Linked DNA regions of Xenopus tropicalis. The protein of the gene in region 2 binds, or shares a complex with, the protein of the main gene of each other region. Links are inferred from orthologs where the notes say so. Each region holds a gene or a part of one and is shown on either strand. Other genes may lie near its edges.

Region 1 (6,055 bases), on a different chromosome or scaffold from region 2:
TCCATGCTTGGGCATAGATTGTACCTTTCTTACAGAAGTGAGGGTCTTACCAGCTTACAAAAGTAACTAGAAAAAGCTTGTCAGTAATAACAAAAGTTGGAAAATAACAGCTGCTGATAATGCTAATTGTCGTATTGGCCAATTGGTTTCAAGACAGTTGATTAGTAGATGTAGATTTTGCACCTTACCATTTGATATACAGAAAACTGTAAGATGCTCCACTTCTTCACAATTATTTTAAAAAGTCCTATCATTCCTTATAGTAATACATTGTTATTATGTTGTTAATTTACACAGAGAGCTTGTAGTAGAGCACTTTTGCTGCACTGTTACTACTTTTGTAGCCGAAGCTACAAGAAGCAGTAATTCCTAGTGTTGTATTTTCCTACAAGAAGCAGTAATTCCTATTGTTGTATTTTCCACTACCTACTACCCAGATTCTAGTCCCTAGCCCTCAGATTTGAGCAGAACAGTAGTGTTTGGTTTAAATGTTCTATTAAGGATGGAGTTGAAATTTATTTGAAAGGTAATCTAGAAAGATTATTACACTTATTCAATTTTTATAGCCTCTCTGCAATGAACTGCAATACACTTCATTATCTCCATTCTCAGAAGCATAAAAATGCTTCTTCTTTTTATTCACTTGATAAATGATTGGGTTTGGTATCTCCGAAATTACTGCTCATTATTAGTGCATTCTCAGGTTTCTCCCTGCATGTCTTATTTCAGTGTACAAGCCAAACTCTTCTATTTAGTTCTGTATCTTGTTTTGCTGCTTCCAGATCCCTGGTTTAACCCAGTGCTACCATCTATTTTGTTAAGGGGACCATTTTCTCCTTAGATAATCTGGCAATGCAACTTTCTTACATTGCAAATGCCCTATACACCAATCAGGAAATGTTATAAGCACTTATTATATCTGTTATACTGTGTTGCTTACAATATCAAATTGATGGTTTATTTATAAATTATGCATGTTAAATAATGATAATAAAGATAAATTGATGACTGATGGCATAGTTCATGAAGCTTGAGGGTGACTGTACTTTGCTTTACAGAGTAAACAAAATGGCAGAGCCCTTTGATGTCAATAAATAAAAATATAATGGCAAAAAATCAACATGTTAATATATGTTGATTTAGTAATCCCAAAAGGTTCAATAAGCAATAGACATATAAAATGTGCTTAAATTGCCATGGTTTTACATTGTGTGCAAGATATGAGGACTCCTTTATGATGGCAAGTGTAGTGTCAAAATTCAATTTCAGAAGTAAATCATGTTTTACCCATAATGCAATGTTTCCCTCACAATTTCAGCATAATTTGAATTTGTGCCTGCTGCATTTGCCCCCACTGCATCAAAAAGAACATACCTGTAGTGCACATTTGTGTGAACTGGAATAAAAGTTGTCAGAGTTGGGATTGTGTCATTTCCATGTTAAAATGCTGTTTGCATGTGATTCTTTGTATACAAATCTGCTGTGTCTATTAATTCAACCCACTGTGGGAACCTTATTCAGGTTGGTGGTAACTCCAGGGTTTCCTAGTGTCAATAGGTGCACTTATACACGATTCCTTAGAGCAGACTGGGAGTGTGCATTGGTGCTTGGTGCAAGGAGGGTGTTCAGACCTCAGTATATTTAACTAATTGTGTAAATACTAGCAACAATTGCTTCAATGTTAATGTGCCTGCAATGCAGCTTTATTTGTAAATGAGCCCAGTATTGTTGTTTTGTCTTAGTCAGTGCTGTCGCTTAAGGCCTGCATATACACATGACTTTACTGAAAGGCTTTACTAATGACTTAACATGCACTTCATACACAGTAGTTTAGCATGTAGGCATAACATAAAGGTAGGAAAGGTTGCTCATAAATTAATAAATCCCTACTTAGAGATAGAGTACAGGTTTGGGATCTCTTATGCTTATGCTGAAAACTCTGAATTAAGGGAAGGGCATTTCCCATAAAGTCAATTTTCAGCAATATTTTTTTTAAATGATTTCCTTTTTCAATGTAATAATAAGAGTACCTTGTACTTGGTCCTACTAATATAGCATACATTAGTATTGGTAGAATGACAATCTTATTTAATTTATTTAAAATTCGAATGTATTGTAGGAGACTTAAGGTATGATAATCCAAATTAGGAAAAAGAATACTTGTCTGAAGGACCTGAGCATTCTGGATAATAGATCCTATGTCTGTATATTTTCTGGTTTTAGACCTGATGTTAAATACGACAACAAAAAAGTTACACACAATTTGCAAATGCACATGAAAACTGTGAGAGGTTCGGCATGTAAAAGTACTGGTGGAGTCTACTACTGAAAATCAGTTTTTCGTTTTTACTAAACAGAAGTAAAGGCAGATAATTCATAAACTTATTTTCTGTATTGTAGTAATGAAGGAAATCCATTGCTTCAAATTGAAGTCGAGCCAACGTCTGAGGTAAGGTTTGCCTTGTTTCTGGAAAAAAATTGCTGTTGTTCAGTGGTTAATGGGAAATCACAAAACACTTGTACTTTTACTGCAGAGTAGTAATCCATAGCAACTACTCAGCAATCAGCTCTTGGATATACTGTAGTAAAGCAAATGAAGGCCAATGTCTACATTGTTGAAGCAGGTTAAAAAGTATCACCCCTGATAACGAGAAATAACAAAAGATATATTGACTAAAGTTTTTTTTGTACCTAATTAAAGGAACTGGTAATTGGAAAATGTCAGCCATATATCTGTGATGAATATGGATGAGAAGGCAGGAGTACAATCATTTAATTGTGTTAATGTTTACTCTGTGTAATCTGCCGAACTCATGTTTATTGATTCAGACTTACTACATTATTGAAAGTTATAATGGTAACCATCCAATACCTGTTCAGTCTCAGTCCTTGTAACATGTAAGCAGGATTTTATTACTTCTTGATATGCTGTCAAAAACTTTTGTGAAATTTGAATTGACAGCAATTACTTAAGTATAAAAACCAGATCCCTTATTTAATGTATTTTTATTTATACATTTCCATTGAATTAAGAACTTTTATTTACATGAATTTGTTATGTGAATTTGAAAATGAAAAATGGAAAAACTTTATCACATTAATTTGTAAAGTCCTTGATCCATACAAAAATCTCATTTTTACTTCTGAGGAAGCATCATAAGAAGTATTAATAATATTGGTCCTACACTTTGAGGTTTAATTACTTAAAAGACAAAGCTTTGCTTTAGCAAGCTCAAACAGATGTTCCTGAGGGCACTACTTTTAAAAGGACACTTATTTCAGCCTCCGATAGCAGGAACATACTTTTTGCAAATAAACCTGGTGCATATTCTCACTTCTGCCTACAGAATGAAGATGGCAATGAACGAGCAGAAGAGTCTGAAGATGACTTTGAGGAAATGAACCACTTACTGCTGTCAGCCAGGAACTTTCCCCGTAAAGCCAGTCAGACCAGCATATTTCTACAGGAGTGGGATATTCCATTTGAACAGCTAGAAATTGGGGAGATGATTGGCAAAGGCCGATTTGGCTTGGTTTATCATGGACGATGGCATGGGGAAGTGGCCATCAGACTCATTGACATTGAGAGAGACAATGAGGACCAACTGAAAGCTTTCAAGAGGGAAGTAATGGCTTACAGACAAACACGGCATGAAAATGTTGTTCTCTTCATGGGAGCGTGTATGAGCCCACCACACCTAGCAATTATCACCAGGTAATGTCAGTCTAATTTTTTGGTATTGAGCACTGTTTTACTACATGTACTAGAAAGAGCTTTTCCTGTATGCCATGTTCTATTAAGCACCGTACCAGGAAAAATTTTAGAATGTGTTCTTGGCTTCACTGTGCCAAACATTTAAAAGTTAAACATGATAGTGCCTTATCAGAAAGAAAAAAAAAGTGCACAAATCATGTACTGTTGTTTAAATCTATTTTGAGATGTATTAAATGAACAAATTACTGAATTTTTTTACTGCCAGGTTTATGACTATAGAAGAGCTACGTTTTAGGTTAATTTTTTTTGCCAGAGCATTGTGACCTTATTTCCAGTAATGGAGCTACTGTAATGCTACAATAATTCTCACCTCATACTTTCAATGTTCTACCAGTATGCAAATACTTTCAGTGCCGTGTGCAGGGAAAAGCCTAAGAAGCTAGACCTAAGGGTACTGCCTATATAAAGAATTACTGATCAAAGCTGCAGATCAAGAATGTCTTGCTATTTGACAAGGAGAGATGATGTTTCCAAGGCTGATGCTTTACTGATTTTGGACACAGATCCTGGAGATAGCTGTCCAGAGCACTGTCAGATCTTTGTTGCCGTAGGGGACATATACAACCAGAATTATAGATCATAAAATGTATACCTTCTTGCACATATTGCATGTTGTCTTTCTTTTTTGCATTTTTGATACAAACATATGTATCCATGTCAGAGAAGTACATGGGAGGGCTAGGCTATGACTTTGCAAATATTAGTGGGTGCACCACATTATAGCTGCCCAATGTTTATAGAGTGGAAGATAATAATAATATTAAGCCAATGTTAATAATGGTAAACCTTAAATCTTAAATCTTGGATTAACAGTATAGGGGAATAGGTATAATGTGGGGATAAAAATGCAATAAGATTTTGCATTTATAAAAGTGTGAATGGATTTGCATTTTTAATGTATTCTGGGTTACCAGATCATTTGAAAAATTATGTATAGTAAATGAGAGTTGGTGGTCTTTACTGATTAAAAACAGATTTTGGGGTAATGCAGTCAGTGAAGGTCTTGTAGCTGGATTTTCTAGATGTCCACAATTATTTAAATTATCTTGAAACAGCAGTTTTTGCTGTTTAAAATACCTAATTTACCATAATAGCATAAATATGTGAATAAAAATGATGAAATTAAACTCTTTATAACACTGCCTTTATAAGCTGCCAATTCACTTTTCTTTATATTTCTATTGCTACTAGTGTAAGTGTTACAATTATAATTTCATACATCACTTTGAACAGGCTTTGAATAGCCCTACACTAATGTTCCTTTTGCTGATTTGCTTGGTATTTTTATTATTTAGATATTTTGGTTTATCATGTTCCTGGTTATGTTACATTTAGTTATTGAAAATAATATGGGACAATACAGCATTGCTTGGGGGTCAAAATACATGGTACTGAGTCACCGAATCACTGAATCACACTATCAGTGTGAGTAGCCAGCAATTAAACCCTTGTGTGACATAGTGTAATTTAACTCCTTGGATTTTTAAAAAAAATAGTATTGTCCCTTTAAACAGTCTTTAGTGAGAGCTTATTTGTTTTAATCTTGACAAATGCATAGACTAGAATGTGGAAAAAATAAATTTTCCAGACACGGTTGCATCAATAACTCATTATTGCCAACTTGTCTTTTAGGGACAAAGATCCCATTATTTAAAAACCAATGATCTTGGAAGATAACTCTAACCTTCTAGTGCAGATATAACATGTCCAGAGCAAATACAATGTATCCTGCCTTACAACTGAGACTTACATGCATTTGAACAGAACCTAGTAAGCTACATTATAGACAAGCACACATACCTGTAACAATAGATAGATAGATAGATAGATAGATAGATAGATAACCAGATATATAGATAGATAGACAGATAGATAGATATTATTATTATTAACATTTATTTATAAAGAGCCAACATATTCCGCAGCGCTGTAAAATAAGTGGGTTTCATACATTGGACATACAGAGTAACATATAAAGCAATCAGTAACCGATACAAGAGGTGAAGAGAGCCCTGCCCAAAAGAGCTTACAATCTACAAGATTAATATAAATCTCTTCAATTAAAATTTTATACTATTTCTAAGTTTGAGTTATTATTGTTATTTTCACTATATTAAATTCTAAGTTTTAATGAATGGCTGGTACTTTTTATATTATGGTCCTAACTTAAATATTTTGAAGATAAGGATTGTTAATTTGATGGATTTGCACCTCTTTATGAATTTCAGTATATCCAAGCACAGTATGTAGGATAATAGAACACTATAGGATAATAAAATG
Region 2 (6,055 bases):
TAGGGAACACTCTATTCTCTTCCATGTATAGCTTGGCTGTGCCAACTCCCAGGGTCATAAAATTGAACAGACTGCTCTCAGCCCTAGCCCAAATCTGTTTCAAATGGAACATATATATCTGCTGTTATAGCTGGAGAGTCTCAGAACCCTGCACAAAGCAGCAGTGGGTACAGTCCTCTGTCCTGTCTGATTCCATTGCAGGACTTTAAATAAGCCAGCAACAGTTTGCAGTGTCTTTAGCCAAGCAATGAGAAGGTGCCATTCAACTTTAATTTGCCAGAATATCGCCTCCAATAAGAAATTTGGCAATTGGAATTTTAGTCTGAATGTATGGATGAGTGGTTTTGCACTCACAGGGCTTATTGTACAGTAATTGCTTGCAGGTATCCTCCATGCTACTTCGTGTGCACTTGCACAGAATGTTCAGGTTCTTTCTCAAGTGGAATTTGTACAATGGTCAGACTTAATAGAATATTTACTGCAATGTAGGCAAGCAAAGAAAGTCTGCACTGTTCTAAAGGCATGGTTGAAATCTAACATGTCCGACTACAGTTCCATACTTTGATTCCCTTATGCCCTGCCCCAGGTTTCACACAGGCTCTACAGGCCTCTTTCTAAGGCATAATTTATATAATATAACCCCCCTGCCCAGCACACAAAGTATCACACTCTTGGCCTCCTATATCAAAAACTTGGACAGAATTGCAGCTTGTATTTGTATCTTATTAGAATGACACTGACAACCTGTGGCCCTCTACATGTTGTTGAACCAAAACTCTCTGAACCCCTACAATAGTCAAAAGCAAACAACTCAACAACATCACACAAAGGACCACAGATTGCACATTTATGGTTTTAGATGGTCTGAGAGGTTATTCTTGCGTGGTGGGTTTTTTTTTGTTTTGTTTTTTTTTTTTTTGTACCAAGGTATGTCAAGGAATAAAAAGGGTTAGGCAAAATGAACTGGGTTCCATGTCTTTTAAAGGTTAATTAGAATCCTGTAACCCATATAAAGTAATTAGCAGTTACATTGTTGTACTTGTCTAGTACAATACAGCCTTTATAACTCACAAAGACCTTCTTACTATATGTGGTCTACTTATGTCACTATTCATTGGTCAGCTATATCATAATGTCATGTTCCATCGGGTCCATGGGAATTATAAAGTAAAATGAGGTTAAGTAGACCCAGGTAGAGAGGTTGGGGTATTTATGCCATGGCTTGCTCAGTGCCGCATAAAAGAGCTTGACAGTTCCCATCAGTAAGTACTGATCCTTATTAACCGTGGTCAGGTGTGTGATAATCCGCCTGGGATAACACAATGCATAGATAATTAACTCTTTTGTGTAGAACACCATTGTAATGGATTTGAGCATACATTGCCATGGGAATAAGGACTCTAATAATTGTAAGTGGAGTTGTCATGGTTACACGAGAGTAACTGCAGAAAAAGGCTTTTCCTTCCTTTATTTAAAATGTGTATATTTTTCTATGATATAATATGTCTGCATTACTAGCTAGATAAAAAGGCTATGTAGGGTAAATGCAGTTGGTGCAAAATGACTAAAGTGCATAGCTTTGCTATCATGGTGGTTCTGCTGTAGGTTGCATTCTTACTGTGGGCTGCTAATTGTTTATACCTAGGCAAATGAGCTGGTGACACCGGTGTTTAATACGCAGTATTATGAATTCCGTGAATAAATCCTATCTATCTCTCCATCAATGCCACTTGTGCCCAACACAACTGTGTATTAAAAGAACGTCTGAGCTGATATTACAGGTCAGCTCAGACCCCATAAAGTGAAACCACATGTCCTGCAACCCTGATCCTTTTTATCAGGGGTCCCCAACTTTTCTTACTCGTTAGCCACAGTCAAATGTAAAAAGGCTTGGGAAGCAACACAAGCACCATAAAAGTTCATGGAGGTGCCAAATAAGGGCAGAGATTGGCCATTAGGTAGCCTCAATGCACACTATCGGCTTACAGGGGGCTTTATTTGGTGCTAAATCTTGTTTTTATTCAGCCAAAACTTGCCCCCAAGTCAGGAATTCAAACATAACTACCTGGTTTGGGGACACTGAGAGCAACATCCAAGGGGTTGGTGAGCAACATGTTGTCCCCGAGCAGCTGGTTGGGGATCACTGCTTTTATAGAATCATAAAACTCCTTTGAGATTTCTTATTTTCCTTTTCTCTTTGTAGGACAAACCTTGAAGCTCTGCAGAAAAAGTTGGAAGAGCTGGAGCTGGATGAGCAGCAGAGGAAGCGTCTAGAGGCCTTTCTCACCCAGAAGCAGAAAGTTGGGGAGCTGAAGGATGATGACTTTGAGAAAGTGTCGGAGCTTGGAGCAGGCAATGGAGGAGTGGTGTTTAAGGTGTCCCACAAGCCGACTAGCTTGATTATGGCCAGGAAGGTGAGATTTTTGAATGGAGTTTAAGTAGAAATAAAGACAGAAGGAAAACGTGAATTTGTTATTAATTTGTGCATAAGAATACAATGATTGACATATTCTATTATTTTCTGGCAGTTAATTCATCTGGAGATAAAGCCTGCAATCAGAAATCAGATTATCCGAGAGTTGCAGGTTCTGCATGAATGTAACTCCCCATACATTGTGGGGTTCTATGGGGCCTTCTACAGTGACGGAGAGATCAGCATTTGTATGGAACACATGGTGAGAATTAGGGAGGGACTTGAAAGGCCAGAGCTCAGAGCCTTTGGGATAATGAGCTAATGATAAGGAGATTTAAACTGTGCTCTAGTCATTAGCTGAGGCATCAGATACACTCAGGACTGTATCTATACAAGGTGTACACCTTTAGGGCGAAGACACACAGGGCGATTAGTCGCTGCTTTGAAAAGTCTTACTGGCTTAATTAAAAGTTGCGGCAACTAATCGGCCTGTGTGTAAACTTGTATTTTCTTTGCTTGATCTTCTATTTTTTGCCCCTGCAGGATGGAGGCTCCCTTGATCAGGTTTTGAAGAAAGCTGGCAAAATCCCTGAGAAAATTTTGGGAAAAGTCAGCATTGCAGTGAGTATTTAGCAAATGCAAATTTGTGATTTATATATATAAGAAAACTATCCAACAAAATCAAATCCTTCCAATTATATGCTCATTCATATAGAGGGCATCCTGGAAAGTAAAAGCTGTAATTTATACTACAAGTTTTAATGTCATGTGTTACACTTGCTCCTGTCAAATTCTGATATCCATTTCTAACTGCAGGTGATAAAAGGTCTAACCTACCTGAGAGAGAAGCATAAGATAATGCACAGAGGTAAGTTTCTATATGGAAGGGCCCTCATTGACTCATTGATGTATAACGCCTTTTAAAATGTTCAGCTTAGGACCGGAAAGATCATTCTGTATTGAAAACCGCTGTTATAGCGTAACAATAAAAAAAACTCACTGTAGCACTAATGGTGCCATGCCAACCACAATGGCTTTATATAGAGAGATGTCTCCTATTAACTAGGATTAGGTGTTTGAGGAGAAATAATGTGCTTCCAGTAGCATAAAGGCATATACCCTACGTAAATCTTAATGTTTAATAGCTCAAAGTGCTTTTATGAGCCCCTTTGCAATGTTATTATTTTCTTTAGTAACAACCTTGCTAAACAACATTAGCTTTATTTTCTGAATCAGGATGTGTTCTATTGATCCTGTCACTAAGCAATAGAACTGAACAGGAAAGCATCAAGAGAGGCTTCCTGCTTCAATAAAATAAGCTTTGCCATTCTACCCAGCCCCCACACACTTTTACCAATTTTACATTCCGTTATTGGGTTAGGTATATGTCCCTTTTAAAAGTCATTTTTTTTTTTTTGTTTGTTTTGCAGATGTGAAACCTTCTAACATCCTAGTCAACTCTAGGGGAGAGATAAAACTCTGCGACTTTGGAGTCAGCGGGCAGCTAATAGACTCCATGGCAAATTCCTTTGTTGGGACAAGATCCTATATGTCAGTAAGTGTCCTCCAGTTCCTCTTCACCCCAGAGCATATGTTCAGTGACAGCTATTCTTAAGTGCTTGTGAAAATACAATGTTGCACAGGGGTTCCCAAATACGAAATGTACATTAATTTAATTGTAGTCATGTAAGGGTTTTGTAAAGCTGTTTCTATTATTTGAGGCAGATTCACTTTGATATACATCTTACTGCTCTTAGGATCTGAACACCCCAAGGGTCCCAAACCATAACACACCACATTTTTCTCAATGTATATTAATAAACATGGTCCTACCCCTTCCATGGTGAATTTGCAATAATGTGTGAATTTTTCAGGTAAATATACATTTGAAACATGTTACAGTCATTGGAGCTGATCTCCTATTGCCATGTTATGTGTTTATGCATCGACTGCACTCTGCACAGAGTCACGTGTGTTCACACTGTGTGTCAGGCAGCAGATGGAGAATGCCCTCCCACACTGTGCAATGCTCCGTGTGTGTGTGTGTGTGTGTGTGTGTGTGTTTGTAATTACAGCTCGTCACATTCTGGCTGTTGGGGGTGGTGATGCTTGTTCTTTGTATTCTGGAAGGAGTCTGCCCTAATTACTACATTACAGATGGTGTATATATTATGTAATGCTACAAAGCAAAGTGCATATACACTTGGTCAGTTACAAAGGTTTGTATGTGTGTAGGGGTGGATATAGATGTATAAGTTAGGGAGGAACTCCTATAACCAGGTAAGTCATCTTGGTACCCATGAAGTAATGCAGACTCAAAAGCAAGGAATTTGTTAATAGCCCTGTTCTGTGCACCTTGCAGCAGTTAGTGCAGAACAAATAAAGTACTTCCGTTTGCTAACTTTCTTAGGTCTTCAGAACAATTGTGGAAGTAGTAAAAGGAAGTTGATATGGGTAATTCAATCTCAAGTTAATTTTCAGAAGAATAGAATGTCCTATTAGCAGCCTTTTTGCATTCTTTTCCTTTGTTTCCTTTATAGTTTTTAAATTGTTTACCTTTCTCTTTCACCTTTCAAATGGGGGAAAAAACTGTTGTTCCGAGTTACTTTTTATGACTTCTTTTTCTATCAAGGCCCTTTCCTATTTGTTCTTTGGTCTCTAATTCAAACCACTGCCTGGTTACCAAGGTACATTGGACTTTCAACAGCTATCTGGCTTCTAGGATCCAAACTGGAGAGTAAGGTTGCCACATGGCCACTATTTTACCAGCCTGGGCAGTAAAAATGATGCTTTATGCCAATGTTATTAAAAGGGGAAAAAAGTTAAAAATATAGGAAGCCTGGTGTTTCCAAAAAAAGGTGGCGACCCTACTGAAAAGTTGCTTAACAAAAAGCTAAGCAGTTGTAAAAAAAACAAAATTTTCTTAGAAAATTACATTCTACAACACACACACAGAACCAGAAAAATGGACACCAACCTGGGGTAGCAAGAGGTACTTACTACAGGTATGGGATCCATTATCCGCAAACCTATCACCCAGAAAGCTCCAAATTATGGGAAGGCCATCTCCCATAGACTCCATTTTAATAAACTCACTCAAAATTTTAAATTTGGTTTCCCCTTTTCTCTGTAATAATAAAACAGTACCTTGTACTTGATCCCAGCTAAGACAGAATTAATCCTTATTGGAGTTGAAACTATCCTTTTGGGTTTAATTAATGTTTTAATTATTTTTAGTAGACTTAAGGTATGGAGATCTAAATTACGGAAAGACCCCTTATCTGGAAAACCCCAAGTCCTGAGCATTTTGGATAATGGGTCCTATATCTGTATATCAATTTAAATAAAATCCTGATTACAGGAGTTGGGCAAGGGAATAGGGTAACAATTTGTGCTTTAGAGATTTTTAATGAAAAGAATAAGCAGAATTTTCATTTTCAGGTCAAGTTTGCTTTGCTCATGCTGAGTACTGTGCATTGCATCCATACTTGCATTTTGTTCTTTCCTTTTGTACATTCTGTACATCTATCTTCAGTAGGGGTGGATTAATACTGAAATAAGCCCCAAGCTGTACCCCACTCCCTCTTCACTGCCTGTGAATTATGGGAAAGGGTCGCCATTATGGGAATTTGGCGCGATGCA

Evidence for each region. Proteins that work in one complex are often made in the same cells at the same time.
Region 1: the proteins of map2k1 (region 2) and ksr2 are in contact, whole or in part, in a crystal structure (PDB 7UMB), measured with the Homo sapiens proteins. The link is inferred for Xenopus tropicalis from reciprocal best matches to the Homo sapiens genes MAP2K1 and KSR2. Residues at the interface, in NP_002746.1 of Homo sapiens: Val81, Glu102, Met219, Ala220, Asn221, Ser222, Phe223, Val224, Gly225, Thr226, Arg227, Ser228, Met230, Arg234, Leu235, Gln236, Gly237, Met308, Ala309, Ile310, Phe311, Glu312, Leu314, Asp315, Val318, Asn319; in NP_775869.4 of Homo sapiens: Lys674, Arg818, Asp820, Lys821, Leu822, Arg823, Ile824, Gln825, Asn826, Ile837, Arg838, Gln839, Leu840, Ser841, Pro842, Gln877, Pro878, Ala879, Glu880, Ala881, Ile883, Trp884, Gln885, Gly887, Thr888, Met890.

The regions. Positions count from the first base shown.
Region 1 is NC_030677.2:165,076,155-165,082,209, reverse strand, and holds part of ksr2 (kinase suppressor of Ras 2), read left to right. Parts: intron 1-2,400; coding exon 2,401-2,449; intron 2,450-3,347; coding exon 3,348-3,715; intron 3,716-6,055. UniProt on the Homo sapiens protein: Location-regulated scaffold connecting MEK to RAF. Has very low protein kinase activity and can phosphorylate MAP2K1 at several Ser and Thr residues with very low efficiency (in vitro).
Region 2 is NC_030679.2:117,155,379-117,161,433, forward strand, and holds part of map2k1 (dual specificity mitogen-activated protein kinase kinase 1), read left to right. Parts: intron 1-2,203; coding exon 2,204-2,414; intron 2,415-2,528; coding exon 2,529-2,675; intron 2,676-2,956; coding exon 2,957-3,034; intron 3,035-3,229; coding exon 3,230-3,281; intron 3,282-3,843; coding exon 3,844-3,968; intron 3,969-6,055. UniProt on the Homo sapiens protein: Dual specificity protein kinase which acts as an essential component of the MAP kinase signal transduction pathway.